Arabidopsis thaliana: one gene and its partners. The protein of the gene in region 3 interacts with the protein of the main gene of each other region in a biochemical or structural test. Each region holds a gene or a part of one and is shown on either strand. Other genes may lie near its edges. The genes, in order: CDG1, CDL1 and BSL1.

Region 1 (10,477 bases), on a different chromosome or scaffold from region 3:
AAGGAAAATGAATCACTTTTTATTTCACAACGTAATGAACAGAGGAAAATTTTGGCGAATGCTAGAAAACACACCAAAATTTTACGAACAAATTTACACAATTTCTCCTAAAACGTCCGGAAAAATTGCACGACTGTTACTAGTTTTAAAGCACGAGTTACCAGGTCACCTGTTTTCGTTAGACTGATAATTCATATTTCTACAGCAAATTTAGTATATCAATCTGTGTAAATATTTTATTGATTTATAATATATAAATAAAGTTGCATCTAGTTATGTCGTCATAAGTTTACGCATACGTATATTTGGAGAAAATGTCAAAAAAATCTTTAATTGTAAAAAATAGCATAAAAAGTTTTAACTTTATCTCGAGTAAAATAATGCGCTAATTTTCATTAACTTTTTATTTTAATCATATTTTTAATTGACTTCGCATTTTTAATCGCTCATTTTGTTGACTTTACCCAATATGTCACGTAGTTAAGTTGACTAACAAAACAAATTTTTAGAGTTAAATTTTCGTTGAGATGTTATGTTAAACTACACAAAAAAACATTGTTTAACTAACAAATAAAACTTAAAATGAAATTCAATCTTCTTACTACTTAGATAAACTCATGGATACGTCAATGGTGACATACAAAAAGTGTATATTAGAGAGTAACTCAATTATATTATAGTGATTTAGCCCTAAGTTTTTAATTCTAGAAAATTTAAAAATTTTAATGATTAAAACAACTATAAGTTTTTAATATATTGGATGTATATTATTACAAACAATAATATATAAGATAACTTGTACATGATTCACCAAAATAGTCTAGTTGAAACAACTATAATTTGAAGTTAAATAGGCTAAGTTGAAACAACTATAATTTTGAGATTCAACTATTCTTGGGTTACGGATTTTTACATTCTTATTAAAATATTGTGTTATTGGTTTGGGGGGTTTTAAATTTCCTCAAATGAATATCTTCTTATACGAAAAGATTAGTTTTCTTTGTAATTTTATTAAAATGATGATTATATTTAGATGTGGTCATGTGGATGAACCACCACCAGTGCACCAAAAACAGAAAACGACGCCTACCAACTTGATGGGCTTTTAATAGATATAGTTAGTTAGGCCCAGTTTAGTGTTAATACGATACCGTTTGACGTAGTTTAACGGCCACCGACACGAACGAATCCAAAACGGCACCGTGTCAATCGCATCCAAAGCTCTGATGTAAGAAACTCTACACTTGTTCGAGTTTCGGAGAAAAGAAACGATGAGGAAGAGATGAAACGCGGTGGAACAAGACGGAAGCGGTTGTTCGGGAAGACGATTCTCTTATCATCTGTGGTTTTCTTCATCGGTTTTGGTTTGTTGTTGCTCACGCTCCGTTCCGTAGATCCTAATTCGTCTTTCATCGACGACGACGATGACGAGTCCGAATCCGAGGAGGCTTCGAGATGGAGCAACTCTTCTTCGATTGGAGAGGCTATGGTCGATGGAGCTAAACTCTGCGCGACGGTAGAAGAAATGGGAAGCGAATTCGATGGTGGTTTCGTAGATCAAAGTCTCAGAGTTCGAGATGTTATCCATCGCCATTTTCAAATCAATGGTGAGATATTTTGTTTTTGAATCGACTCTTATATAAGCGGAGGTGTTTACGATGAATCAATGTCGATGTGGTTATTGTGGTTTATAGGAGCTTCAGCGATCCGTGAGCTGCCTCCGGAGCAATTTTGTAGACATGGTTATGTTCTAGGGAAAACAGCAGAAGCTGGATTTGGAAACGAAATGTATAAGATCTTAACATCAGCAGCATTGAGCATAATGTTAAACAGATCCTTGATCATTGGCCAGACCAGGCATATATTGGTTCTTTCTCAATCCTTTTTCTCTATATTAACTGAACTGTTACTATGCTTGTTGTAGTTTGTGTTATTTGTCTTGTTTATATTTCTTTCTTTCTCTGGGTATCCTCAGGGGGAAGTATCCTTTTGGTGATTACATTGCTTACTCAAATGCTACGTTTACAATGAGTGAAGTCAAGCATCTGTGGCGACAAAATGGCTGCGTGAAGAAATACAAAAGGCGGCTTGTTATGAGATTGGATGATTTCGAGAAACCGGCTAAGAGTAATGTTCTATGCAGTAATTGGAAGAAGTGGGAAGAAGCTATTATATGGTCAGTTGAAGAAAAGAAAGTACAGAAGATACAACTTTGAATTCATTTTGTGAAAGTTATAATCATTACTGAGTCGAGCATTTGGTTTTCAGGTTTCAAGGCACGACAGACGCTGTGGCAGCTCAGTTTTTCCTCAAGAATGTGCATCCTGAGATGAGAGCTGCTGCATTTGAGCTATTTGGAGAGCAAGGAAACTCGGCACCACGAGGTAATGTGTTTGGAGAGTTGATGATGAGTCTCATATCTCCCACAAAAGATGTTAAAGAAGCAGTGGACTGGGTTCTACACGAGACTGGGGATCCTGATATTTCAGTGCACATGCGAATGTTGATGAGCAAGTATGTTAAAACGTGCATCTAGGTTTGTTTTTTTAGTTGTTGAGCTTGTTGACTAAGTCTTCCTTTCATGTTTTTCTCCAGATCTGTTAGACCTATGCGTGCAGCGATAAACTGTCTAGGGAAAGCAATTAACAGACTTGGCATACCGAACCCGAGAGTGGTTATAGTGTCTGACACTCCATCTGTAGTGAAAATTATCAAAACAAATATCAGCACCATTGCAGAGGTATCAATGATCTATTAAACTTGCACTTTCTCTAATCTTCCCAATGATTTATTCAATTCCATTGGCGGACTAAGTAAGTTGCAATGGTTTTCAGGTTCTACATTTTGACTATAAGCTTTTCCGAGGTGATATCGCTCAACGTGGCCGCGGTTTACCAATGTTAGATTTCAGAATAAAGGATTGGGGTCCTGCACCGAGGTGGGTTGCATTTGTAGATTTCTTCCTCGCGTGCCGTGCTAAACATGCGGTGATCTCCGGTGCTAACAGGCGAGTTGGGACTACTTATGCTCAGTTGGTTGCTGCATTAGCCGCGGCAAACAGTCTCAGTTAAGATCGTTTTTTAGTTTCCTCAACACTTATTTTTCTTTCCTTCTGATCTGTCTCATTAACAGTACTCCTTGACTGGTTAATTCACAGAGGATGGTTCGAGCAACTCAAGCTTTGCGTTCCTGAGTAGTTTCCAGAGCAATTTGTTAGCAGATGGTCTGAAGAACCAGGTAGGTTGGGGACATGTCTGGAACCGATACGCTGGACCGTTAAGCTGTCCAAAACAGCCAAACCAATGCGCCTTCACGCCGCTTGCACCTCCTGGTTGGTGGGACGGTATATGGCAATCGCCCATCCCACGGGACACTCGTAGGCTTGCAGCTTTCGGCATTGAGCTTTCCGGGTTTGGTACGGTTAACGAAGACCGGTTCCACGCCTATTGTAGCGCCAAGAAAGAGTACGTAAGCACTGTAACAATCATATAATGACTTCTTGAAAAAGATTCTGGACTCTTGGTTATAAATGGACTCACTGGTTTTATTCTTCAAATCTACTTCCCCTTCTTTAATTGAACCGGCCATATCAAACTTTTTGTTCTAAATAACCGGACCCAAACCGAATTAAGCAAACCGAACGCCCAGGCCTACGAGTAACTAGCTGGCCTCTTGGTTCAATATATGGTTTTACTACTCCCTTCTTAAATTGAACCGGCTTTCTTACCAGGTCTAAATAACTAAACCCAAACCGAACTAACTAATTAAACCGAAGTCAAATATATCCAGCTATAAGTAAGAGAAGACTTCTGGTGTTTATTAGAAACAAAGTAAGATTAAGAGAGGAATAAAGCTGGTGTCAGACATTAAAGATGGAACATCATCTCGTGGAATCAAACTTTTCCTAATACAAAAATTGATTCTCGGTTAGTGAAACTTCAATTTACTACCACTTGCAGATTGTTAATTTCATTATTATTATTCTCGTCGTTAGAAATTTGCTACTAACATTGCAAGTAGGTTCAGGTATAGGTGAGAGCTAGTTTAAGATGGACAAAACTAATTATGTAAGTAGTTCTTGTAAAATATGCATTTTAAAGGTAACAATTGCTATTTTGGTGTAAACTTTTGTAATGACTAAAAATAAATAATTGTGATGGAAATAAAATCTGATTACAAAAAGATTTGAGAACGTCATGATTCATTCATAATCATGTACTGTCTACCATACTTTTTATTCTACGTACTACCATACAATCTCCAAATTTTAAGAGTGGTATGGCTCCATGACTCACATCACATGATTTACATTACATATTGTACTAATGTCAGAACCTTAACCGATCGTAAAAACCGATCAACAACGTTAACCATCATTATTGACCGTTATCTGTCGTCATAAAATCTCGGCCAAGGCTTCTTTAAAGTCTTGGCTAAATCAAAAACAACTTTTGAATTTGAACCTCATAGTGGAGCTAGAGAAGAACACAACCAAGAATCAAATGTGTATACGTTCGTATAATTAATACTTGTTAATACTGTTTCCCTCTCCTCTTTCTTTAGTTTTGTTAATTACTAGACTTTTATGCACAAAATGATAAGAATGGAGTCATAAAATCCATAGAAACCATAAAAAAAAAGTTCCGATAATTATCATTATCGTATATTGAATAATGTGAAATAGAAGTTGAATGTGTTTCCAAATTTGGTTCGGAACTGTCTTATGTCTCAGACAGAGAATCTTTGATAAAATCTTTTAACTTACATTGCATGGATATATTGGCCTAAATTTTACCATTATCAGCGTTCCTTTTAATTTTGAGGTTAAACATAGGGAAAAGCATCTTGCCGTTTTCATCGTCTGTTAAAAATTATTGAGTTTTAGACTGGGAATCTTTAATACTTGTAGCTCACGTTACATGAATTTGTTTATCAAAATTTTGTTATTCTCTGCGGTTTTTGCAATACACTTAAAAATTATTTTGCACCAAAACCAACCAACAAAAAAAATTCTTCAATGAATTTCAAAAACGTTGATAATTTTTTTGTCGTTACGTCTATAGTTTTGGGCCTTTTTTGAATGCATAACAAACATAGTTATCATCTAATATATCACTATTAGAATTTAGAAATACTTAACGTGAGGATTATTTTCTAATTTTTGTCTTAAAAATTAGTTTAAATTCAGAATCCAACATTTATCACAATTATAAATTCCAGGGATATAAAGGAGAAACTTACTATAAAACAATTAACATTGTAGATTATTACCCTCAATGGCATAATAAAACAATAAATGATTTTATCTCATAGAAGCAATTGGTGAGTAACGTACCATATATATTGCACCCCCATGCTCTCTTTTGTTGATTACGTGTCTTTCCTTCCTATCAAAACCCCTTCAACCAAATCTTATCTAAATCCCCCAAAATTTTACGAAAACTCTCGATTTTAATCTAAATCTCCTTCCTTATCACCTCACAAATTTCTCGTGTTTTTTTGTAATCAATTTTTGATGGAAAATTATTCCCAAAACTCGAATCTCTGTTGATCGTGTGTTTCTTGGGGTTCGTCTGATTCCTTCAAAGTTTTCATCTTTTTGATAACAAAACCGTTAGTTCTTTGTCCTCGTGTGTGATCATCTCTTGAGCCCTATTGATAAACCATATAGAGAGTGTATGTGTGTGTATATCTTTGTTTATTGAGTGACACCAACAACAAAAAGATTATTTTCCTTGAGATTGATTAAAAGAAAACATGGTTAGTTGCTTGTGTTTTCGTCCCAGTCGGAAAACGAAGCTCAAAGACAAATCTCATAAGAGATCCATACGTAACCAGACATCCTCCTCTTCTGGTTCCTCTCACTTCCCTTTGATCTTTTTATTATTATTTATAGATTAATCTTGAGATTAGTCATCTTTAATACCAGTCATTAGTAGTAAATCATGATAAAATCTCCCTTTTCTTTTAAATAGCTTATTTATTAATGATACATATAGTATTTGTCTTGTGATTAGTTTATACGGATCGTACAAATCCCGGCTTAGGGTTTGTGTTTTATAGTTCAAAGATTTGTGTATTTGGCTGATAAATGTCTTTTTAATCTACTTGTGATCCAATAACATATGTGATATAGTCTCTCATTGTGTTGTTTTGTTCCTCTGTAGCCCAACCAGCTGGAACAGCAAAAGAAGTAGATTCGTCAAGTTCACAAACCGTAGTGCAAGATTCTTCTAGATACAGATGTCAGATTTTCTCATACAGAGAACTCGCCATCGCGACTAACAGCTTCAGGAATGAATCTTTGATCGGAAGAGGTGGATTTGGAACTGTGTATAAAGGAAGGCTAAGCACTGGACAGGTAATCTATTATTAACATTTGGACTAATCAAATCAATAATCTTGTCGTTGTGAAATCTCTAACTGTTTGTCATTGTGCTTTGTTGTTGGTCTTAATTCAAGAACATAGCTGTTAAAATGCTTGATCAGTCTGGTATTCAAGGAGACAAAGAGTTTCTTGTGGAAGTCCTAATGCTCTCGCTCTTGCACCACCGAAACCTAGTGCATTTGTTCGGTTATTGTGCTGAAGGCGATCAAAGACTCGTTGTCTATGAATACATGCCTCTTGGATCTGTAGAAGATCATCTCTACGGTAAAAAAAAAACTACACTCAAACCAAGAAATTTTCAAGAACGAGATTCATTAAAGTTTTTTAAATTCTTGTGTTGTTTTGTCAGATCTTAGCGAGGGTCAAGAGGCTTTAGATTGGAAGACAAGGATGAAGATAGCTCTAGGAGCGGCTAAAGGGTTAGCGTTTCTTCACAACGAAGCACAACCTCCTGTGATATACAGAGATTTGAAAACTTCAAACATATTGTTGGATCATGACTATAAACCTAAGCTCTCAGATTTTGGACTTGCAAAGTTTGGTCCAAGTGATGATATGTCTCATGTCTCTACTAGAGTTATGGGAACTCATGGGTATTGTGCACCAGAGTACGCGAACACCGGGAAGTTGACGCTGAAATCTGATATTTATAGCTTTGGAGTTGTGCTGCTGGAGCTTATCAGTGGACGCAAAGCTCTTATGCCCTCATCCGAATGCGTTGGTAATCAAAGTCGCTATCTTGTGCATTGGGTAATCCTCTCAACCTTATTTTGCTTAAGGATGGATTAGTTTTTTCCTTATGACCATTTATAGGCTTTGCTTCTTTTAGACTATATAACCAGATTATATCTATCTAAATTCCAATTTTGCTTAAGAGAAAAATTGTTTTGATGGTGACCTTTTGGTCGATTTTGCATAATTATACCGTTTACGATTTAGGGTTTAGGGTTTAGATTAATCAATTAACCATTAAACCATATGCTATCAATTTTGATTTTTCGTAAAAATGGTAGTGGTTTTACTATTGACCTTTAACCATATATAGGTTTTGATTTTGGTTATGCTGATGAAAAAGAGTTTCGTGTTATGGCCCTTAATGATGTGTGGATACGTATTAGACTAATGAATGTTCCGATTTTGATGACGACATGTTCATGTGTTTCTTTTTTTTTTTCTTAACAGGCACGACCGTTGTTCTTGAATGGCAGAATAAGGCAGATTGTAGATCCAAGGTTAGCAAGAAAAGGCGGTTTTTCGAATATACTTCTTTATAGAGGTATTGAAGTGGCCTTTCTGTGCCTAGCAGAAGAAGCAAACGCTAGACCATCGATCAGCCAAGTCGTGGAGTGTCTTAAGTATATCATTGATCACACAATTAGGAAGGAAAGGAGAACTAGGCGTAGACTACTAGGAGGAAATAAGGATGGGGCGGGGACATCGAGGTCACCGGATGAGACAATGATGAGGATGTTAGAAGAAGAAGAAGAATACGTAACTAGTGAAGAAGCTATTGAGAGAAGGAGGGTAATCGTGGATGATGCTCGTACTTGGGCCGGTATGAATAGGAGAGGGGCTACGCCACCAACTCCGACTCCATGAAAGTGAAGTAAATTTTTATTAACTTGTTTTTCAAGTTATATTTGGTTAAGTTTGTTTGGTGAGACTATTGTTAGAAACCAAATTTTGTTAAAACATTTAAACATGGCAATTTAGTTAATACTAGATTTATGTTTGTTTTTATATATGTACTAACATCAAATTGATTTCTTACAAATTTCATCTGCTTCAATAACTTCGGTTTATTTAATTCGATTAAGATTTTGTTTCATAACAAAAAAATTAATATTTTGGACGTAAACTTTTTCATTTCATTTTTTTTAATATTTAATTTTATTATATTGAATCAAAAATTACATGGTTATCAATAAACATACACATACAACCAATATTTAGGTAAAACAAAATAATCGAAAAAGTAAAATCGCACGTTGCTTCTTTCGATAGGTAGGACTTATATGCTACCAGAGAAATAATTCTGTTACTTTTTTTATTCGTTTTCATCTTTGATCTTCTTTTTTTTACTATCGCCTTTTTGATGAAACTACAATAAGTTCTTCAAAAATTATTAGTTGCGATCCATCTGTTACATCGCAAATCATACAAATTTTTTTTAGTTGTAGAAAACATGATTGTTTATATAGCGACTTGTTTTCCATATAGATATTCCTTCTTCACAGCCTCCAACACCGGTATCATGACTCCCCAACATCCATATAACGCTGCCACTGGATTCATATGGATCATATTCATATAACGCTTAACATTCTGCAAACTTGAAACTTTAGTCAGATAGCATTATAACATATCTACCATCCTTATTGGAACCAGAAGCGTTCTACAACCACTTTGTGATTTTTACATCGGAATTGTTGTACACGTAAACTTTTTTGTGTTATGAAAAATGTATTTAAAAGTTGAATGAACATATTTATATAGTTAGGCCCACTTGTGTGAATTCAGATTTTCAAGGCTCAAAAGAATATTTTTGTTTTAGAGAAGGTTGAGTCCATCATCATAACCCATATGTTGCCTGTCATCATATTTTTCTTTCGACCTTTTTCTCCTCGAGATTTCAAAAGATAATCACTATTAAGAAACAAAATTTTTGACCGCGGTTACTAAGTGACAAACCAATGAAATAAAGACACGTCAGCTTCTGTCAAAATAAGAAAGATAAACTAAAAAAACGACGGTCACACACAGTTTCTTTCTTTTTGGTTATATTAAAATGTTTTTGTTTGAGAAGACAAAAAAAAAAAAAGTGGGGGAAGAGAACCCACCATTGAAATTGGGGGAAGAAGAGAAGAGAGGCTAACACACAAAAAAAAAAAAACCCTTCTTTTTCGCTGGCTTACTCGTGCCCTTGTCGGCTTACTTCGCCGGAAATCTGAATTATCCTTTTGCCGGAGACTACTTACCCTTCTCTTTCTTCATCTTCGAAACGGGTTTTTAAAGCTCAGCTCTTGGTGACGCCGTCGTGAGAGAGAGAGAGATTGAAGTAGAAGAAGAAGAAATTGAGGTTGAGAGATGTATGTAGTGCCTCCGCCTCAGCGATCTGATTCTGGATCCAATGGTGATTTAAGGGTTTACCAAACTTGGAAAGGCAGCAATGTGAGTTTTTTTTTTCTCTTTTTTGTTCTTCTTTGAGCTATAGATGCTTCATTACTCTTCCTTCCCATTTTTTTAGTTTTTGCTAAGTCTATTAAATGGGACTTTAGATTAGCTGCTATGTTTTCAATTTCAACCTAGTTCAAAATTGGAACTTTATTAAGTCTTTAGGAGAATCTAGCTATTGCGTTTTTGTGAATCCTAGGTTTTGGTGTCGTTTTCATAGGTTGCTTTTGTGGTGAATACCCTTTGGATCGTTTTAAGCTGGACAAGGCATTTTAACTTTATCTAAATATAGCTCAATGATAGATTGAGTTACTTTGGACAGAAAGGTTTTGTAATTTGAGATTACACATATATATATAGTAGATACTTGTGTATAAGGAGGTTTTCAATAACCTTCTCTCTGTGTTGCCTTAAGACATCAGCTAGAGAATCTGAATACTTCTTCAATGATTACTTACTCTGAGTACTGATTAAGACATGTGTTGTGTGATGTACTGAATTCATCGCTGGTGTATTGTTTTCCTGGATGATTCTTGTTTTTGGGGAATACTTTGTTCTCGAAAGTTTCTCTACCGGGCTGTTTATTTTCGCGTTTTATTTTGCAGATATTCTTTCTTCAGGGAAGGTTTGTATTTGGGCCAGATGTTAGATCACTGGCGCTGACCATTTGTCTCATTGCTGTCCCTGTTACAATTTTCTGCATCTTTGTCGCAAGGAAGCTAATTGATGACTTCTCCGATAGCTGGGGAGTCTCAATAGTAGCTGTCGCCGTCGTGTTCACCATTTATGTATGTATAGTTTTTTCTCGCATTGCATAGCAGATGGTCTCTATAATATTCTGTAGCTGATGCTTTTATTTTGTATTCCCTTATGATTCCGTTTCTTTCTTCAGGATTTAATTCTTCTGCTGCTTAC
Region 2 (9,703 bases), on a different chromosome or scaffold from region 3:
TTTGTCTTAACTCAATTTCCGGTTAACGTTCTAAAACAAAACTAACCGATTCCGGTTTTTCTTTATTTGCAGTAAAAGTAACAAATCTGTTGGACTTTGGTAACGATGCCATGATGGCTTATGAAGAAGAAATATTACTACTTGAGAGTGTTATAAATTTCTGGATTTGGTATTGTACATTTTGTGATAAATAAGAGATATTTGGTATTGTTTACTTTCATTCATCAAAGAGAGAGACATGGTTTATTCCGGATAATACAAATGTCAATAATAAAATGGGCTTAATACCTTATTGAATACCTTATTGAATTGTATCAATTACGGCCCATTATGAGTTATGGAGTTCCCGACAAAGATCACAAAACTGCCACGTGTACGATGATGACTGTAATTTCGAGAAACGTAAACGCTTCCACACAAAAAAAATCCGTAGTTTCTTCTACAGAATCAGATCTTTGTATCGTCAATGGCTCCTTCTTTTATGTAAGGATCTATGTTCTTATCCGGAATTTAGAGTCTTTATTGAGTTTGATCGATTTTGGGATTATAAGTTTCGCAAAATTCATGTTTTTTACATTAAGTCTATTCGATTTCAGCTGTATTGGGAATTTAAGTTTTTCTGTGGCTTGATTCTATTGAGACAGTTTTGTAGAAGATCGTCCAGCTCCGCTTGATGCTACTTCTGATCCACCGTCTCTCTTCGACGGAACCACAAGGTTAATCTTCAATGTTGCTTCTTTTATGCTTTTGGTTTTAGCTCTGTTCTGTAGTTTATTGGATTTCCCTTATGTCTTAACCTCTTATTGTTTTGTGTTACCAAAGGTTGTACACAAGCTACGTTTGCCCATTTGCTCAACGAGTTTGGATCACTCGAAACTTCAAGGTTTAACAGCTTCTCCTTTGTACTAGTCTCTCACCTTTAACAATATTTTGGTCGTATTAGGGATATTTGAAGCCGGATTGGTTATCTTGTTGAAGTTTGTTAATTTGACGTCTCACAAACTTTTATCTTTCTTGCATATGTGTACTCTATTTATAAAGTAGTTGGATTCTTTGGTTGGTTTCCGGTGGTTGTAGGGTTTGCAAGAAAAGATTAAACTTGTTCCTTTGGATCTTGGGAATAGGCCTGCTTGGTACAAGGAGAAAGTATATCCAGAGAACAAGGTTTTCTATTTATAACTCACGAGTTCATATGTGACATTCCACTTTTGGTTATGACTTAGTGGAAACTTCTCGTTATCTTTTTCAGGTGCCAGCGCTTGAGCACAATGGAAAAATCATTGGGGAGAGTCTGGATTTGATTAAATATCTTGATAACACTTTTGAAGGGCCTTCTCTTTACCCCGAGGTAACACATCCCTTATACCGAGTATGGTTTCCCTTCATTATTCTCTGATTCCACTATTCATTTCCCTCTCTAGGATCATGCAAAAAGAGAGTTTGGCGACGAGTTGCTCAAGTATACTGATACTTTCGTTAAAACTATGTATGTGTCACTCAAAGGAGACCCCTCTAAAGAAACCGGTGAGACTTTAAACTCTTCAACTGTTTTCAGGGGTGAAAAGGCGACAAAATTATGACCAAAAATTTCATGTTCTTGTTTCAGCACCTGTGTTAGATTATCTGGAAAACGCTCTGTATAAGTTCGATGACGGGCCGTTCTTCCTCGGTCAGTTAAGCTTGGTATAAGCCTCACTAACCTTCTTTGAGATCATACATTTCGCCTTTTGTTTGTCTTAATTCTTATATGGACGGTTTGAATTCTTTGTTTTTTTCAAGGTTGATATCGCCTATATCCCGTTCATTGAAAGGTTCCAAACTGTACTCAATGAATTATTTAAGTGCGACATTACTGCCGAACGTCCCAAACTATCAGCATGGATTGAGGTATATATATATGCAATCTTCATTAAGTCAGAAAAGATTACACTTATCCTCACTAGGGAATGGTACTTAAGCGATCGGTGTTATGTTTGCAGGAAATTAACAAGAGCGATGGCTATGCACAGACGAAAATGGATCCTAAGGAGATTGTGGAGGTTTTCAAGAAAAAATTCATGGTAAGTCATACAACTAGGATATAATTTTTTTAACTGAACTACCACATGATTTTAATGGATCCAAATGTGAGTTGCTTCATATTTTCTTGGGGGTTAGAACATAAAAGCTATATATGCCTTTAAGCATCTGGTTGTTTAGGTGTGAATGTTCGTTGCTTTGGGTTAGTTTTCTGTTTTGGGAATGAAAACCGAGTCGGTTTAGCATCTGGCTCAGAGACAATCTCATCTTTCTCCAACGAGCGTTTTGCGACTTAGACGTTTTGAAAGCAAAGACCATGCACTAATCATCAGCTAGCCTATTACTATGGCCAAATGACTTGTTTAATACTTTCTCGGTTAATGGTCTATACTAAATGTGAGTCTAATTCCGGTTATATTCTTGCAGTAACTGTAAGCAAGCACGAAGCAGTAAAGTGTATGAGACCAAACCACCTTGTACGAACAGGTGGTCTTTGGATATGAAGAAATAAGATGTGTACTTGAACCTGATGATGCAATAAGATTTGTACTTTAAGCAGCAACAGCTTAATCTGTATTCTAGTGTTGATCAAATTATCAACCATTGACATTGTTAATATATTACTGTATGATAGTAATACTATCAAAATCTCACACATTAAGAACCAGATGATGCAATAAGGATAAGGTGTATAGTTAACTTGCAGCAACAGCTTGATCTATATTTGACTGTTCACCAATAATCAATCCTTGACATTGTAATATGATATCAATACAATCAAAATCTCACACATTAAAGTTTTGAAAACTATAGTACTTTAATATTTATACAATAACTTTGGAATCGAAGCAGACATCCTCAGTACAATAATGAGAAATTGTCACATTTGAAAGCAAGCGCTCAATAAACATTACATTAAACAACATCACCTATAACAACATTATAAACCGGCCTCTATATGAATCTATCTCTTCTTACACATATCTACAAGTAGCTCTTAAGCCATACATTCACACTTAGTCTGAAAATCATCCACCTTTCCTCTCCAAGAAAGACAGCACGGAATGGGTTTAAGCTACATAACTTACACAGCATTGCGGTTCTCGGGATTATTTTCAGACCCTCTTTGATCTAGGTGGAGTCCCTGGAGCGAAAAGGGATCCTTGGACTGGCTGAGCCAGAGGATCAAACTTTTGGGAGGCGAGGTAAGAAAGTGCAGTGACGACGTCAGCAATGAGAGGTCTAAGATTTGGCTGCTCTTGTACGCACATCGCTGCTACAGCGAGTGCTTGGTATAACCCTCGCGGAGGGTATTGACCTTGAAGCATTGGATCAGCCATCTGAGAGAATTTCCTCCTGTCTTTAAACAAAGGCCTTGCCTGACATAGAGAGCATTTCAAAGAATACAATTAGAAGGAAGAATCCGCAGAGAAAACAAAGTTTGTTCCCAATTTGTTTTTTTTTCTTACCCATGCGACTAGATTCTGTTCTCCAGTAGATCTTGAACTGTCTATTGCTTTCCGACCAGTTATAATCTCCAACAGAACAACACCGAAGCTGTAAACGTCTGATTTGAGTGTTAGCTGGCCTGTCATTGCATACTCGGGAGCACAGTATCCGTATGTTCCCATAACCCGAGTGGACACATGAGACTTGTCCCCAACTGGGCCAAGTTTAGCCAACCCGAAGTCGGATAGCTTTGGAAAGTAATCATCATCGAGCAAAATATTTGAGCATTTCAAATCTCGATAGATCACTGGAGGCATGGTTTTGTCATGCAGATACTCCAAACCTTTTGCAGCACCGGCAGCTATTTTCATTCTGGTGTTCCAGTCAAGTGGCTGCTTACCAGGTGAAATGTCTGAAATAAAAAAAGCATCACCCGATTGAAATTTAAAGACTTCTCATAGGCATGTGTGATCTTAGAAGCGCATACCGTGCAAATGATCTTCAAGTGAACCTAGGGGCATGTACTCGTAGACTAGAAGCCTTTGATCTCCATCAGCACAATATCCTATTAAGTTAACAAGATTCGGGTGATGAAGAAGACTCAACATGAGAACCTCGACGAGGAACTCCCTGTTTCCTTGTAAACCATTATGATCAAGTTGCTTGATAGCCGCTGTCTACAAATGAAGATATAATGACAGTGAGCTTTCACTACCAAGAAGATTCAAAAGGTTAAAACCAAGCAAAAAAAAGGGAAGGAACCTGGCTAGTGCTGGCCAAGTATCCTTTGTAAACTCTACCAAATCCTCCTTCTCCTATAAGACATTCTTTTCTGAAGTTTCTAGTGGCAGTAGCTAACTCAGAGAATGTAAACGTTTGTGCCACAATGTGATCAGAGCCTTTACTTTTGGATTCACTCAAGGACGACTTGGCCCTAGATTTCTCTACAAAAAAAGAAAGAAAAGAAAGCGATAAGAAGAAATAATTAATCAACACAAGCTGAGCATAATTGTCTCAAGGTCAATAATCAACAAATTAAAGTTCTAAGAATATAGCAAGATACTTAAGGATCTAGCAAGTCCCATTTAAGAGTTTAATCCACAACTTCCACTGGAGAGCAATAACAACAATTAACAGGAAAGAGACATGCAATAACACATCACTGTCAAAATACTAACACAGGTGTTACAGAGTAGTCAAAAGCTAGTGAAATGGAAGGAAAAAAGCAATCTTTAAACAGAAAGTCAAAAACCCTAATCAGCATTAGCAAACGATGATGGCTCACAGGAATCAGAAAGTTTTAGCAAAGGATAAAAATTTCCATAATTTAGTAAGAGAAGGTTAAACCCAGAATTAAAATTGGACAAAGACTATAAAGAGAAATTACCTGAAGTAGACACAGAACAATCAGAAGACTTCCTGTCGAGTTTGTGGTCACCGTTCCTCCTTGTCTTATTCCTCCCACTCGATTTCCCAGAACACGGGATCCAACCCATTAAGCTTCTCACGATCTTCTTCTTCTTCAAATGATTCTTCGTTTCGATTGTGTTCGATGATCTCAAAAGCGAGAGAGAGAGAGAGAAGCTTAGAGAACTTTGAAATGTAAAAAAAGCACGCCAAGCCAATCGCTGGATTTTTCGATTTTTCTCTTTTGATATAAAATATATTTTTAAAACAATTTAATTTTTGTGATACAAATTAATGTGAATGGGTTTGACTTTGACAAATAAAAATTAATTGTCAAAGAAAAAAAGACAAACAAAAATTATATTTTATCAAAGTAGTATCAACTAACTACCCCCATGGAATTTAAATTTCTTTTCAACACACAAAAAGAGATTATTTGATTGAATAAATTTCTTGTGTTGTAAGTTGTAACAATATTGAAATTGAACTTTAATAAGCAACAATCGTGGTCACCATTATAGTTTCCAATCATTTGGGTATAAGAGATTGATTATTCCTATTTTAAAATGGTGTTTATCAAAGACAGATTTTTTCTAAGAATATATATATTTACGATATAAGCTAAATGATATTGAAAGAGATAATGTTGATACAATACGACACCGTACTATGCACGGCTCCAAAAGCAAGCTTATACCAAAAAATATACAGAGAAGGGGTTATTGTTTTACAAGTTTACAACATCTACAAAGATTTCACTACATCCTGAAACCAAACCCTTCGTCCTAATTTCACAAACCAGACCAGACAACGACAATAATAACAAACAATCAAATGTCGTAGTGTCTTTGTTTCGTGAATAGTAGTAGTATTATCAAAGAATCAGACTTTGAAGGGAAAATGTTAAAACATGTGATAGATATATATATATAAGATAGATATGAGCACATTACTCATGTTTTTGGGCTGAGAAATAGTGGGTTTTGTTGATTTTCCGTTAGCTATCCTCAATGTTTTTTATGTCGTTATCATCAGTTGCAGCGGCTGTTTTACGCACAAATTGGCCTCGCACTCGAGGGCGTTGTTCTGCTAGTTTTTTCCGGCTTTGGTATCGTACCTGAGAAAGCCAAAAAAAAAACATTTTTGCGGTTTGCATTTGCTTTCGCAATTTACAAGAATACTTTTTTTTTCCTTTGTTATAGATTTGACCGAGAATTTACCTTCTTTCGGAAGCACCTCTCTTTTCTCTTCTGACGGAACTTTGTCAAAGCAGCTTCCCTTTGAGAGATCTTATTTTCATCCGCCAAGTTTCCGCTACCACTTCCACTTCCGCTTCCACTACCATCGCCATTTCCATTTTTGCCAGCACCATTATCACTTCCCATATTCATTCCTCCAGCATTCATACCGTTACTGCTTCCATATGGCCCATTACTTCCATGACCACTACCTGATACACTTCCATTCACACTGTAATTCACTGTGTTGTTGTTACCTTCAATCGTTTCGTTGTACACATTTGAGGATCCACATTGTGGCGGTAGCTTCTTCCTCTCAGCGACATGGACAAGGTTATAGGAGGCATGATTATTATGATGATCACAGGGTAAAGGCTGAAACGATGAATGCTTCACTGATGAAGATCCTGCTGAGCTTACTTTTGGAGCTCCTGGTTTTGTGAAAGCGTTGTTCTCAGTCGTGGAACTCATATCAAAGTTATTGCTACCGACATGTGAGCGATGATTATGGGGGAGACTCTCATTCATGTTCGAGTGACAATCATATGCTGCTTCAGTCTTTTTTATAAGATCCTGACTATTATTATCCTGAAGCGAAGTGCTTCCTAAGTTCCCACCAGAAATCTTATTGGCATTTGAGGCTGGATTATACCTGCACAAGTCCAACAGTCGATCTCATAGTTCTTCAATAAGGCATTCAAAAGGTTGTGTACGGAAGAAAAAACAGAGGTTTGATTCTAAGAAAGTACCTTGAGAAAGCTGAGCCCTCTGAACGCCTCAGCACATTCCGATCATCCCTAACTAGTGTCCCATCATCTTTAGTTCCTCTATGCCTCTTTGAACTATGTTCCACGTGCATTAGCTCTTCAGAAATTTTAACAGAAGCTTCATTTGTATCTAAAGTTTTCAAGTGAGTGTTAGGCGCCTCAGGTTCTCTGTTATCTTGAAGGTGGCTAGACATAGCTTTGAAACTCGAGCCTCCATCTTCATGCATTTGTTTACTTGAAGGACTTTCGCTACTGAGGTCCAATGGTCCTTTTCCAACTTTCATTTTCCATTTACTAGAGCTCTTTTCAAACGAATTATCCTGTCTCATAATGCCAGTAGTTTTAGATAGGGGTTCATCTTTTGGCTCCAGGGCCAGATCACAGTTTCTACGAATGCTAATCTCCAAGTCTCTACCCATTGTGACATCTTCTGCAAAATAGATGAAAAACATTCAATATCATGTTTTTGAGTTTCAGTATAAAGAAGAGTATGGAAGAAACTAAGAGATCACAGTTTCCTTTCTTTACCAAATTTATCATCATGTTCTTGAGTCTCCTTCTCAGCAGGTGGTGCAACCAACTGATTACTTGGAAACTCAGGGTTAGAATGTACCACTTGGGCGCAAGTGCTATCAACTCGGTCCCATAGAGATACCGCTCGTGGACTGTCATCAACATCCACAGCTTTTTTCGTCCAAGAGCTCTGAACAAAAAAAGGTATGTCAAAATCAACCTAGGTTTTGGAGATAAACCATGTGCAAAATAAAACTTCAAAATGAACTAGAAATTTTCACCCAGTTTATCACTGAATAGATCTAAGTTAAACATCATTGAGTTCTACAATTGGTTAGTTAAGCGCTTCCACCATTTATAAGCATCTGAGTGCACATGCGAAGTTCGATCATCCGACCCCTATCATTTGTGGTTAAGAAATTTTTAAAAGGATAGCTTCTCGGGTGTATATTTAGATTATCGGTATTGCACATTCGTCTTACCTGAGCGCCACTCCCATCACTACTTCCATCACTAGCATTCAGGCCAATGCTCCCATTTTCATTCTCATCACTGCTTCCTGAATCTTGATCAGATTTTTTAATACTTTTCGATTTCACAGACTTTTGAGTTTGATGCGTTCCGCTCTCACTTCCACTACCACTAGACTGAACAAGAAACAAGGAAAACCATGAGAAACCAAAAAGTAAGATACCAATCATGTGGAAAAAAAAAAAGAAGATACCAATCCACAATTAGACCATGAATTTCTAGTTTACTACTTATCACCAGTTGTACCAACAGGTTTTCAGATTAATCATATATGAGCAAGGACATACACTTTGGCATCTTCTCCAAACATGCTGCCAAAGGATCTTAAGCTCATTTTTTCTTATTGGCTTAACAAGAAAGTCAACAGCTCCTTTCGATAAGCACTTAAAGACCAGCCCCATTGAGTCATGAGATGACATCACTGCAACACAAATCTCACAGGGGAATGTAGTTAAAAGCATCTACTTTCCAACATACGCTAGAGAAGACTCAACAAATCGTGTAACTTCAAAAGAAAGAGCTCAATGTAAAACGACCAAGGAAAAAGAACTCACTGATGACAGGGATGTTCCGACGAGATTTGTGGTTCAAAATCTTGCACAAGAGACCGATACCAGATAAGTAAGGCATGATCACCTCTGTTAGCACAATATCAATATGATTGTTTAGATCTTCTAACACCTTCCAAGCTTGTATCCCATTTGACGCCTCAACAACTGCCATGACAGAGTTAATAATAATCAATCAACAAACAGAACCGAAACGGGTACATATATGCGCTATAGATTAAAGTTGGGCCATAGGCTTCAAAACTGACCTTCATAGCTACAATTGCGAAGAAGTGCAGTAACGATATAACGAGTGCAGTCGTCATTTTCGACAAGCAGAACTCTAATGGTTCTCACATGAAGAAACCTTTCCCAACAGACAGTTGCCGCTGTTTGTTGCGACAATGGAATTTGCAGTCCACCTGAACTCCCATTTCTCACATCCATAGTAATTCCATTAGTTTTCTCTTCTTCACTATGCTTCTCTGTCCGACTCTCAACCCTATCGAATTTCGTCTCTCCGGTCTTTCGATCAGTGATTGGGTAACGTGAACCCTCCCCCTCCTCATTAGCATTCATCACACCAACTCTGCTTCGCTGAATTCAAATGATCAAAATATCAAAACACAGCCATAAACCCTAATTTCGATTATTGCAATAGCTAGAGGAGTTAGAATCGTACAATATCTCAGATTAACAGAAAAAAGAGTTGAAGAACGACGAATTCTCAAAAAACCAACTAATCAAGTAACTTTTTGAAGAATCATCAAAAAATCGAATCTAGACAAATTACATCAAATAAAAATCCAACCATACAAAAGCATCTAAATTCCAAGAGAGTACTGATCTTACAATAATCAAATACTAGAACGAAGAATCGAGCTCCAGAAGTTGCATCAATCACCAGAAAAATGGATCTAGCACAATCAGCTAACGGTTGGGAAATAGAAACAAGGAATTCAAATCGATAAACAGAATTAAGAATCGAAGCTTCTTAGAACTTTAGAAGGAAGATAAACACAGTGAACAATTTTTGAGATTATGAGGTTTTTCTGTCTCCCAGAGAGTGGAAATCGGAGACGACCATAAGCCACCGATTTTTATTTTTCCGGAGATAGATAGATATTAGAAAGATTTGTCTCGGGCCAACAAAAAAAAAAAGGAAATTAAAAAATCGTAATATCTGACATGGACAAAACTAGAGGTCCCGAACGTTCGAGAAGTTCCACGT
Region 3 (11,876 bases):
TTGTCGACAAAGAACATCCACGAATATTCAAACCCTTTGAATACACAGATTTTCTTCACTTCTTTCAGACAGAAGCTGGACGTATAGCTCAATCAGCTCTCCATGCTTTCGCTGCCTTTTGAATCAGAAGTATGTATGAATGTATAACTTCATGTTGTTGTGTTGTAGTTTTAACATTCCAAAAACCAAATCTATGTTTGAAGAAATATAAATCATCTCTCACTAAAGAGTTTTTTAGAAGAAAAGCAAAAAAATAGTACTATACCATTCTCACTCTCTGGTGGTATAGTGGATTATATTACACATGTGCGGCAGAGTATATGAACACTGCAAATTTTGAAACATAAAATCTTACTATACTTGTATAAAGTTGTACCAAAATCCAATATTGGTTGACTTCATGAGTTGCAGGCAGAAACCGGGAATGCAATCAGATTCAGATGTATGCAAGCGAGCTTCTGTCAAAATCTGGTTGTGGCCTGCCTCGTGTTGGAGTCGGCGGTCTCTGGATATTCAGCTCCTGCAAAAGATAAATTGTGTACTTTCAGTGTCTCTGGTTCGTAGCCAAAAAAAGATATAGCTACATAAACTCTCCTAGGACTATCCATATCACATAACTACCAACTAAGATCAAGTTGCTCAGTTTGTGGCTGAAACAAAGACATTATGTGCTTCACTGGTATATGCTAGGAAAATGTCTTTTATTGTTCCAAAACTATTATGTGTTTCCGGTTTAGGCCAAATATTTCTAGGAAAAAGACAAAGACAGACTCTTACACTAAGGTCAGGTTACCCGGTTTGTGGCTGAAACAAGTTTCAAGCTTTTGTTTTGGAGAATGTGTTCTTATGATGTAGTAAAAGAGTTGATGTATGGATTTGAATTAATTTGAAACAGAAGTAGCAAAGTTGTTGTTACCTGCATCCAAGCGTCGTCTCCAGAATGTTCTGGAGAGTTCTCTGGAGATAAGATGGGAGGTGGAAGAGGATGAATTAACTTGGGAACAATCACCAATCCTCTGCCAACCACCAATATAGCTCCTGCATTGTTCGCAGTTCCTGTTTAAGAAAAGTATCACAATGTTTTATTTCTTGATGTTTTTTCCTATCCAAGAATACAATCATAGATACAAGATGAGGTTTTGACGGGTTTTGTTTCGCCTCACCGCAGTAATTTGTGGCGGAGAAAAGCGTAATCAACTGTCCCTGTGCAAATCTTTCGAATCCATCCATCACACATTCATGGGCCCTGATAATTAGCTGTAGTTTATTCCTCTTACAGAATTCTGTGACTCTATCAGGCTGCAGTATCAAGACTACGCCCTCAGTGATTGGCCCCTAAAAACAATATTAATAAAAAACGACAATAAGAGCGAATTAGGGGTGATTTACCCCAAACGTGACAAGGCCAGGTCCTCTGGCGTTTGGTCTTAAACCCTCGATACTATCGTTCTCTGTAGGATCAGACCTGTACTTTAAAAAAATGTCATTAACTCGGGGATATTAGAAATAGTGATTGATATGAAAGCAAGACAGCAAAGGATGGATTACCATAATAAATCCATTAGAACAAGGGATCCAGCATCCATTGTTATGGGTCTTTCAATCTTTTCAATCTGTTCCACTGTACTGATTGACCTCCCAATTCCACCATGCATACATATAATTTTGTTCTCGATTAGTGCAGCAAGAGGAAGATAATTAAAAAGTTGATTAAATCTTGTCCACGCCCAGATGCCATCATTCTCTCCCTGGCAAAAGTACAGAGCAGGCTTAGTCTACGCAGAAAAGCTAGCGACAAACACGATGAATATTTCTGCAGAGAGGGATTTACCATTCTTTCTATGCATTCAAGACGGAAACCAAATAGTGCATTAATGTCAGCAGCCTCGTGGTTTCCACGAATCAAGTGAACATTCTCCGGATATTCAATCTGCAAAGGAATATCTCAGAACCATAAAACCAAAAAGCACATTTTGAATGACACTACTAATATTGGTGATGTGAAATTAGGCACCGTCTTGCCTTCAATGCAAGCAGCAACGTTATAGTCTCCAGGCTGTGTTGTCCCCGGTCAACGTAATCTCCCAAGAATAAATAGTCAATATACCTGAGGCAAACACGTTTAATCGTTCAGTGACTATATTTTTTTAGCAAAACTCCACAAAGTTCAATCGATTTCTTAAACTTACGTGATGTCTCCAGCTGTTGAGGGAAATCCATATTCATCAAATAAACGCATTAAATCGCCAAATTGCCCATGGAGATCGCCAAATACTTTGATAGGAGCCTTTAGCTGAAGAACCGTTTGTTCATGCATAAATATTTGTTCGGCAGCATAACAGAGTTCCCCAACTTCGTAAGAATCCAAGAAAAATTTCCTATTGCCAGGAGGTTTCCAGTTTCGAGGTCTTAACAAAGCAGCAATGACCTGCAAGCAACAACACATTAGTAGAGATATTAACAGGGACAGTGTCCAGGAGGATGAGAAGATTGCAGAAGAATGATACCTTTTTATGCAGGCCTTGCGGAGACTTCTGTCTCGTGAACTTCTTGGTAGGTTGTGGCACATCGCTATTGTTCATGGGAACCATCCGTCGGCTCTCATTCTGAAACTGATCCAAGCTTAGCTGTCTTACCATGCCGCCCAGACTACCAACCGTCTCTTTTGCTACCACAACCTATCAAATGAGATACTTCGGTAATCAAATACGCAAAAGAATAGGTACAACAGTTATTCAAGCATACACTATGTTGGGAAGTATTTCAAACTAAGCAGCCAATATGTCCAACGCATGAGACAAAGAGATAAATGTATAATATTCTTAGGTATTAACATACAGCTCTCGGATGAAGCCTGACATCTCCTTCATTTGCGGTACCATCAGTAGTAGATTCTACAATTGGCGAGCTGGCATCAGAGGTAGAGGGTTCTTCATCCAGAGTACCAGCTCCTAGTTGTGCAGCTCGCCAAACAGAACTAGCTACCTCTGCTTCAGCTGCAGAAGCCTCCGTCAATTTCTCCAACGAATTTTCATCCAAGCTGATATTGTTGAGGAGAAAAGTAAGATAAGTCATGCTCAAACAACTAGACACAGTTAAGCACAAACCAAAAGAGGGTAGGAAATGGGATAGACCTCAGTCCCTCAGACATGGAGAAGCTTGGTTCAGAGCCTGAAGGAGGTCGTGCGGCATAAGAAAACCTGGGAGTAGAACTTTGTTGGGTTCTATCTGATGCTAGCAAAGGAGAACTGATGTCTGACTGGAATGTTGAATTTTCAGCAACTAGAAAATCGTCAAGTAACACATCTGTGCGGAAATAAAATTACGGTAATAGTCATACTCTGAGAATAAGGATAGATAAACTTGAGACATTAATTCAAACTATAAGAGATGTAAGTGTACCACAAAAACTTCCTAAGATTCAACTTGACCTAAATTATGAAACGTGAAACTACAGAACTAAAGTATATGTACTGCAATAAACTAAGGCATCTTGTTGTACAAAAGGAATATTATCAGGCCTACCTCCTCTTAGACCACCATGCACATAGATCCGGATACCAACTGATGCCGCGCCATGGCGACAGCGTCGCATAAGTTCAAAAGACGGATCTTGATCGATTTGTCCCTTACTTCCACGTGCAGAAGTAACTTGCCCATTTCTATCCAACCATACACCGGCAGCAGTATCAAGCACTGCGAGAAAAAAAGATTCCACAACAATTAGAAAGATCAAAATCAAGAGGAGCAAAACCTGCGAGAATTAGCTCACCATCACCATTACCTGCAACAGATGCTTCAGCGTCTATTACACGGCCTCCTCTCAGCACACCACCACTGACATGTAATCTTGCACCTACAAAAACCTGATAAGAAAAACAATTAAGGAACTTATGGCAATGGCTAAAATTAGAGCATGGTTTTGTAAATGAAATCAAATGCCTCATCAATCAAATCATATAGAAGAAAAACAATAGTCAACTCAGTTTCTAAAGCTACAATGTGCAGTCCTCTGGAATACTAGTATAAGTCAACGCTTCAGAAGCTATTTTTCCATATGTTTTGAAATTAGAGCAAGATTTGGTTTACCGCTGCATGTTGATATCTTGGAGAAGGAGCTACACCTGGAGCCAGAGTCCACTCCCACTGACCATTTCTATGCATCAGTAGCCCATAAGCATCTCCCAACGGCTGCAGACACACGAACACATAAGGGAATATGCCAGCATTCATCAAGAAGATTGAAAACATAACATCTTAAAATTCGGATCTCCTTGCAAGATAAGCAAAGCTCTAGAATTCGAGATTTCTGTATTTTATCTAGCCCTATCCTGGAAAAAAAAAGTCTACTAATTTCTGCACAAGAGATTAATGGAGAAAAAGGTATACCGCCCCCAAGGTGTCTCTTCCCCCGCAGAGCAAAAACATGCCATCAGAACGAGCACTGCCAGAAGCATACCTATGCAAACAAATCATAATATGAAAATTCAGTTGAAGAACAACCGTTCTACAGTAACCATTAAAATCAACTTAATCACTAACATTCTAGCACTTGGTCGGTCACCATCTGGGTTCAATCTCTGCCATACATATGGTTTCTGAGCTGTATCCAGTGCCCAAGCGTCAGAAAGAGCTCGTTTCCCTGTTCCATACACAGAAAGACACATTTTTGTTAGGATATCTCTATTCTTTAAGAAAAAAAAACAGAATAGTAAAACAGACATATTCTTACCATCATTTCCGGTGACTGTAACAAGATACCTCTGAGAAACTAAATCCATAACATGGCCATAGCGAGGGCCTGGACCATCCCCTTGAACCACCACCCTGAACACGCATTAAATGAAATAATTTTGACATCAATAAAACAGATAGCTAAGAGAGACTGAACTGGGAAACTTATAAAGAGTCTCTCACCTGTGCCACTTGAACTTATCATTAGTCATGTCAAGAACGTAAAGATCATCAGTAGAATGCCCCGCCGGTCCAATGCCACCCTGTTATTTAGAACAAACATAAGTAAATATCATACATGAACAATGACAATTGACCATAAAACTATCACATTTGCGCTTTGCCAGAAACAATAAACAATCTGAATAATTGATCAAAAGATAACCTGAAAAACGACCATGGTGCCAACTGCAGCTGCGGCGTGAGCAGCCCTAGGAGACGGAGGCTCACCAGCCGGTTTAAGCCTGCACAAATCCGGAAATTCACAATGCAACTCTCCATCAAACCAACGTGGATTTGCAAGAAAACAATAATAAACCAAACAACAAAATCTCAAAAACTAAAAACGAAGTCTTTATTACCTTGTCCACTTCCTAGTGAGAATATCATAAGAATGCACCGTATTGGTAACACCAGCTAACCCTAAAACCAGAACCAGAACAACTCCAGATCAAATCAAACCAAACAAACAAAAAAAAAATCAAATTCTGAAATTCAATAAGGGAAACTTACTGATCCCAGGAACGGAAGAACTCCCTCCCTCAATAGCGGTGGCGCCGCCGAAGAGAATAAGACGAGGACCGTGAGTCTTAGTAGCTGCAACAGCCGTAAGTGTATGAGCGCATCTAGGACCAGGAGCATCGTCTTCATCATCCCAAAAGGTTTCTAGGGTTTTATACTGAGGAGCTGGATGTAGCCAAGGCTTCGAGCCCATTGGAAACCACTTTACGGGTATAAATCGATCCCGCAACAGCCAAAATACTGAACCAGAAGCAGAGAAATGAGAAGACGAAACCTAGAAAGCGAATCAAAGAAGGAAAGACTACGGCACTGGACGAAAGAACTAGGTAGAAAGTTCAGATCGAAGGAGTAAGAAGAATTCACGGCGGAGAACGGTGGCGAGTTACGACGGACGGACTCTGTCTTCTCCACAAAGTAAAAACCTTTCTTTTTTTTTCAGAGACTATTTTTTGTTTTTGAATTAAAAGAGAAGAAAAAATAAAATAAAAATCTTTGCTTCGCCGAGTTTTGGAGGACACAGTTTTCTTCGGATAGAAAAGGCGTTTTCGCTGAGCTGGACTTTTAGTCTTCTTCTTTAGTCAACGGCTTTATATGTATGTGAATTGTCTAGATTACCCTTTGTTATTTTTTTTTATATCTGGTAAATACTGTGTGTAGACAATTCTAAGAAAAGCATTTCTATTTCAACACTTTATTATCGAAACTTTGAAATTTGAATTTTCGTTTAGAGGAACATTCTAATTCTATACACATTTTCAACAAATTTAATAATAATGCATAAGCTGTAGCCTTATTGGTAATTTATCTAAGGGGGTGTTATTAGTTAATGGATTTTAATAGAATTGAAATCCAACACTAATCCACTGTTATTCAACTAATGATTCTAAATCCAGTTTTAAAATCTAGTGTTATTGGAACTCATCTTTGTAAATCATGCTTAATAGATTTTAAAGTTTAGTGTTATTCAATTAAGATTTTAAATATTTCATTAAAATCCAGTGTTATTCAAAACTAAAAATCTTGTAAAATCCTTGTATATTAATTCATTTGAAATGAAACCTCTTTGGAGTTTCATGAGTAAATCATTAGAATCGAAATCCATGACATATTGCAGAGATTTTGAAATTCATACAAACATATTTTTAAAAACAATATAGAAAACAAATCTAAAGTTTAAAGAATTGACTTTAACTCCATAATTGAATAACACCACCTAAATATTCAAATATAATCATTAGCTACTTTATGGAATTGATTTCTTCTTAAATTTACTATAGTTAATCTCCTTAAATCACGAAACAATTAAAATTTGTTTCTTTAAATAGCTGTAAAGTCAACTAACTGAGATTAAAAAAGTCAAACTATTCCTTCTGTTATTACCTTCCTCTCAAAGTCTCAACCTTTGCCTGTAAATAACCACAGAGAGAGAGAGACAAAGCTCACAAAACAGAGGAGAATCTCTAAACAGTTAAAAATAAACAAAAATCAAAAACCTACTGGTCAAATTCAATGCAACTGAGTCTAATACTGAAGCTTATTCACATCCCAAGCCACTCTCATAACTCCAAACCTTGAATTCGCCTCTGTGAAAGTCCTCCCAACATCATCTGATCCATAAGGGATCATCTTTTTGCTCCCATCATATGACTCACTAAGCTCCATTACATCAACTACACATATCTGTCTTGTCTCCAAGCTTAAACCGTTCCATTCACCGTCTGTTCTCAACACTGTTCCCTTCCCGATCTCGTCTCCTCTCTCATCCATAAGCCTCACTTGTTGCCCTTGCTTTATCCCTTCTTCTGATGATGACGATGTTCTCATCAGATTCTCTCCTGTTTTCGGGGTTTCTGTTACAGTTTGATCTTTAATTGGTGTTGATGGTTTCTGCTGCCAAGTGTTTTCATCTCCAGGACTCTCCGGTAGATCCCCTGAGCTGTTATTATCATGAGCTGGCCCCGTTTGCTTGTTTGCTCGAGCTAGTTTCGCTTTTCGGTTATTCAGCCTGATAATAAACTTTCAATGTCAGATAATGAATAGTGATTACGAGATTCTCTTTGCAGCTGACGAAGAGGAACAAATAAAAGCAAGTACCAGTTTTTCAGCTGCGAAGATGTAATAACCTCCGAACCCTGCAAAATCATGTAATCAACGAGCGCATCGTTCGTAATACGTGGTTGGAAATTAAAAAGAGTAGAATTCTTGAACTCACCTTTTGACTTATTTTATCAGCCCATAACTGTCTCGAAGCTGAATTCCGCTGCAAATCAGGTTCTTCAGCAAGCGCCTTCTCAATCATCCCCATTTGATCAGCATTCATAATACTACGCTTCCGTTTCTTCTTCTGCTTCTCAAAGACAAGGAAGGTTTCAGATTTCTCATCCTCCTTCACCTCTCCTGATGCACTGCCTTTAAATCGCTTGCTCATATTCTGAACCAACTCTCCCTCTTCAACCAGACCCTTCCCTCTGTTAGAGCTTGTATCTGAACCACTGGTTTCAAGATTGCTAGCATCTGCATCGCTCTCTTTCAACCTTTCAACTGTGTCTATCTCCTCGTTCACGCCTTGCTTTGTCATCACACCTTCAACTCGGACATCACAATCCTCTGAAGCTTCCTCATTGTTAAGATTCAGAAGCTCTTTTAGCTTACCAGATAAATTCCCGCCCCTACCTTCAATATCCTAGTACAACATAACATTTGAAGGTTAGCAAAAGATCTGTCTTACGTAGAAATTTAACATACGATGGACATGAGTAAAACCTTGTTACACCTACTTGTATCAGTGTAACTAAACAGATAAGCCAGAGAATTGTAAAACCAATGTATAAGAGAGCAAAAAGCTTTTTCACCTTCACCTGTACTTGACTTTCCTCAAACTCGGAATGGATTAACGGCTGTAACTGGTCACAAAACACCCTGCAGAAGACAATATACCGGAAAAAAATAATATCAACGGCTACATAAAATAGTACAGCTCGAGAACTACAAAACTTTAATGTAGTCATAGGTGAAAAGTAGAATGACTGAAGAGGCTTTATGTTACCTCAAAAGCAGAAAATCTTCCTCGTTGAGGGAACTAGGGATCAAGGATTCTGCATGGCGCAACAGAGAACCTACATATACAAATATCCATTAAAACCAAATCAGCAAAACATGTGTATATAAGAAATAATATATGTGTCTCGGGATAGAGATACATACCTAGGTTTCTGCAAACACCAGTGCCTCTCTGTGCCACAGGAGTATATGAAGAGCCTGGTAACATCTTAATCAATATGCTTGAAGGATCTTTTCGCAATCCACTCATAACATTCTGAATGAAACGGTTCCTATCCTGTTCTGCAGATATTAACAGCGAATACACTTAGTAACTAACAAACGAAGGCAAACCAACAATATGATACAGGGAAATGCAGAAGATAGTGGCGGGCAAAAAAATCACCTTGGCACACGTTGGGAACGAAACAGTGAAGATTCGCAATCATTTTAATAAATAAGGATGTTCGTTGATGTGCATATGAAGACATGGTAAGGTTATTTTGTAAACTGAGCTTGAATTGAGGTGTGACTGATTGCCCAGAAGATGAAAATACACTTAGAATCCATCCAGCTGACTTAAACAGATCATAATCAACATTCGCATCATCCTCCCTTGAAGAAAGATCAGAAGAGCACAACATTGACAAGAAATCTCCATGAGAGAGACAAAATACCGCGCTGAGAACCATGCTCTGGAGAAAGATTTAACATCCGTCACACAACAAATTACAGAATTTCAGTAACGCAATTAATTTATAACCATACCGACGACAGCTCATAAATTGTATGAATCATATGTGCCAAAACAATAAATAAAACAAGAGACTTTGGCAGAGGCAGGAATAACTTGATACTTACAAAATGTTCAGTGAAAAAAGATCGAAAATTTGAGTCATCAGTGAGCACGTCAGCCAAGCGCATAGCGTTAAGTAGCACAAAACCCATCGGGTAGTCAGGAGAAGCAGTAGCCATGGAAGCTTTAGAAAGGCCAAGCCTCAATAATTTAAGAACCTATATTACAGATATATCATCACTGAATAGGTCAACACTTAACTTCACATGGATAAACTATCCTGGAGAGAAATGAGGAACAGAAAAGTACAAAATGTCAATTTAACAACATATGCCATTTAGGAAACTGTAGGTTTAGACTCTAGAGCAGAGCTGATTATCACTTAGCCAACACGAGCTTTTTGCAGTGAGGTTTGTTCTATGACTAGTTACAACGTATCAAAACAAATAAGATTGTCAATTTGTATGGAATCTTTATAAATAGAAGCGTCACTCAGTGGTAAACCTTTCGAATCAAGAAGGAAAACGTCCTATCGATTTTAGAGCAGAGACCCTAATTAGGACTAACCTCTGAGGCAACAGTTTTGGCTAAATGCAAGTTTCCTGCATTTGCAACCTCGTCAAGGAATGAGACACTTTCCGCTTCAAACAGATGCTGCAACTGCAGGCACATGAACTTTGGTATGAGTTGCAGATAGTAAATAGAGAAAAAAATTGCTAAATTTCAATAGACTTACAATTGAAAGAACTTTTGCTTTCATTCTAGATGTGGAAGCTATAGTTACGGTTGCTCCAACAAATTCAGGTGTAATAGTTAGTGATAGTATGGATTGAGCTAGCCTAAGAACGCCACCTTTTCCACATAGCTCCTGAGAGAAAATACCAGAAAACATAATTCTGAGATTCGTCCTCCATAAAATCATCAATTAAGCAAAACAAATTATTAACAACTCGTGATTAATGTACAAACACCAAGCAATAGAGAAACCTTGTTTTTAGCGACACGTTCTCTAAAGGGTTTGTGTTGGCATAGAGAATGAAGGAACTGCAAAGCAGCTTCAGCTTGTTGGCAGTGGAAGTTAACCTCCTCTACAGAACTTGCGCCTAACTTTTTTGGGGAGTCAGTTTGTCTATACAGCAACTTCGCTTTCAAAGATATCACAACATTGAGAACAGCTCCAAAAGCACTGTCTATAAACACATCAACCTAGATGAAAAAAAAAAAAGAATCAGATCAAACTAATCCCAAGGCAGCAGAAACCCAGATCCCAAAGCATAAGCGTAATTTTCTTAATATATTTTCCTCACATTGGCATTTCAAACACATTATGATAAGGTCATAGTTTCATACCCTTGGGTGTGCAAGCAAGACGAGAACAAGATCTTGGGAGTTAGGAGAGATAAACCCGTGAAACAGGTGGAGACAAGAAGCCACCAATGTAGCCTCTAGTAACGATTCTTTATTCGAATTACAGCTTTCCTGGAAACAAGCAACGGACATGAATTATACAGCTCTAAAAAGAAACAGGAAGAGACAAAAAAAGGATTCTACAGAAAAGAACCTTTCTGTTACGGCCAAGAGCTATTATCACAAGGATCACCAGATCAATCATCTGTGCTGATAATTTCACATCGTCAAGCAAGACCTATCACAATATGCAAACAAAAAAAAGAATCAAACATTATGTTCCATGGAGGCATAAAGTCCAATTCTTTAAAAGCTCAAAACCACATATGAAGATGGAACAACCTGCTCGAGTTTAGCATTACGAGGTGTTAAGTCACACAACGTCTGCAACAGTCTGATCCCACACAGTATATAACGAGACTTTCCATCTTTATTAGGAGTCATAACCACCGCAATGAGGTGCCGAGGTAACATTTTCACCATCTTCTCAACACTAATCTGAAAGAAACCTAAACATCAGTACTTACTACAAATGAATAGCAAAAAACTGAAAAAGCAAATCAAGTTTAAAAATGCACCTTTTGTGGTAACACTTGCTCAGAGTTAAAGCAAATAGAGAAATCTCCATTATCTTTAAGCAGCTTATGAAATTCCACAGAGTTTCGCCAATGCAAAGCGTTCACAGCTTGTACCATGTGTTTAGGCTGCAACAATCGAACCATGACTGTCACTAATATGCAACAGTGACTGAATCTAGTTTCCGGTGAATGAAGAGCGACTAGAATTTTGTCTCGCCGTGAGTTATAGTGTTAGGTTATGTGACAGAGAAGAAGATACGAAAATCAAAAGCAGTGAAATCTACTTCAGGGTATGGTGGCATAACGGTAAATGAGTAAAAAGAATGAGGTTAATTTCTAAATATATTGACACTGAGCCTCGCTCTTTGTAGTAGAAGGGAAAACTCAGCTATGGCTTATCGGATTATTTGATTCCAGCGACCAATTTCAAACCCTAACATTTTATTTCCAAATGTTGTTGAAACGATGAAGACAATCACGTGAGAGTACACGTGACCTCTTTTCTTTGGGTCTAAATCGTTTAATTAAAGCCCAACATAGCTTTTACTTCTTTTTTTAAAGCCCAAATTGAGTACAGCAAA

The links.
Region 1: of the proteins of BSL1 (region 3) and CDG1, one has a biochemical effect on the other in vitro, tested with the Arabidopsis thaliana proteins (one study listed by BioGRID).
Region 2: of the proteins of BSL1 (region 3) and CDL1, one has a biochemical effect on the other in vitro, tested with the Arabidopsis thaliana proteins (one study listed by BioGRID).

The regions. Positions count from the first base shown.
Region 1 is NC_003074.8:9,934,217-9,944,693, reverse strand, and holds CDG1 (Protein kinase superfamily protein), read left to right. Parts: upstream 1-5,388; 5' UTR 5,389-5,757; coding exon 5,758-5,854; intron 5,855-6,167; coding exon 6,168-6,361; intron 6,362-6,462; coding exon 6,463-6,652; intron 6,653-6,737; coding exon 6,738-7,138; intron 7,139-7,570; coding exon 7,571-7,987; 3' UTR 7,988-8,112; downstream 8,113-10,477. Other genes in the region: AT3G26950 (uncharacterized protein), read left to right, coding at 1,283-1,607, 1,695-1,857, 1,976-2,176, 2,269-2,514, 2,596-2,740, 2,835-3,066, 3,158-3,492; AT3G26935 (DHHC-type zinc finger family protein), read left to right, coding at 9,476-9,559, 10,168-10,350, 10,455-10,477. UniProt on the Arabidopsis thaliana protein: Serine/threonine-protein kinase involved in the positive regulation of brassinosteroid (BR) signaling and plant growth. Mediates BR signal transduction from BRI1 receptor kinase to BSU1 phosphatase.
Region 2 is NC_003076.8:632,411-642,113, forward strand, and holds CDL1 (Protein kinase superfamily protein), read right to left. Parts: upstream 5,159-9,703; 5' UTR 4,965-5,158; coding exon 4,856-4,964; intron 4,413-4,855; coding exon 4,231-4,412; intron 4,146-4,230; coding exon 3,956-4,145; intron 3,881-3,955; coding exon 3,489-3,880; intron 3,399-3,488; coding exon 3,135-3,398; 3' UTR 2,797-3,134; downstream 1-2,796. Other genes in the region: GSTL1 (glutathione transferase lambda 1), read left to right, coding at 73-75; GSTL3 (Glutathione S-transferase family protein), read left to right, coding at 467-483, 645-716, 823-883, 1,078-1,164, 1,250-1,348, 1,422-1,524, 1,607-1,683, 1,780-1,887 and 2 more; PRR7 (pseudo-response regulator 7), read right to left, coding at 5,873-5,992, 6,096-6,765, 6,863-7,310, 7,409-7,583, 7,876-8,040, 8,212-8,345, 8,479-8,640, 8,742-9,051. UniProt on the Arabidopsis thaliana protein: Serine/threonine-protein kinase involved in the positive regulation of brassinosteroid (BR) signaling and plant growth. Phosphorylates both BSU1 and BSL1 in vitro.
Region 3 is NC_003075.7:1,359,499-1,371,374, forward strand, and holds BSL1 (BRI1 suppressor 1 (BSU1)-like 1), read right to left. Parts: upstream 6,001-11,876; 5' UTR 5,669-6,000; coding exon 5,467-5,668; intron 5,377-5,466; coding exon 5,316-5,376; intron 5,199-5,315; coding exon 5,120-5,198; intron 4,998-5,119; coding exon 4,918-4,997; intron 4,828-4,917; coding exon 4,733-4,827; intron 4,643-4,732; coding exon 4,543-4,642; intron 4,460-4,542; coding exon 4,390-4,459; intron 4,192-4,389; coding exon 4,090-4,191; intron 3,867-4,089; coding exon 3,785-3,866; intron 3,697-3,784; coding exon 3,526-3,696; intron 3,307-3,525; coding exon 3,135-3,306; intron 3,041-3,134; coding exon 2,839-3,040; intron 2,679-2,838; coding exon 2,508-2,678; intron 2,429-2,507; coding exon 2,190-2,428; intron 2,108-2,189; coding exon 2,023-2,107; intron 1,931-2,022; coding exon 1,832-1,930; intron 1,749-1,831; coding exon 1,549-1,748; intron 1,466-1,548; coding exon 1,390-1,465; intron 1,300-1,389; coding exon 1,164-1,299; intron 1,057-1,163; and 6 more. Other genes in the region: AOP1 (2-oxoglutarate (2OG) and Fe(II)-dependent oxygenase superfamily protein), read left to right, coding at 1-122; AT4G03090 (sequence-specific DNA binding transcription factor ATNDX), read right to left, coding at 6,997-7,480, 7,570-7,607, 7,688-8,158, 8,253-8,394, 8,522-8,591, 8,680-8,817, 8,921-9,209, 9,376-9,528 and 7 more. UniProt on the Arabidopsis thaliana protein: Phosphatase involved in elongation process, probably by acting as a regulator of brassinolide signaling.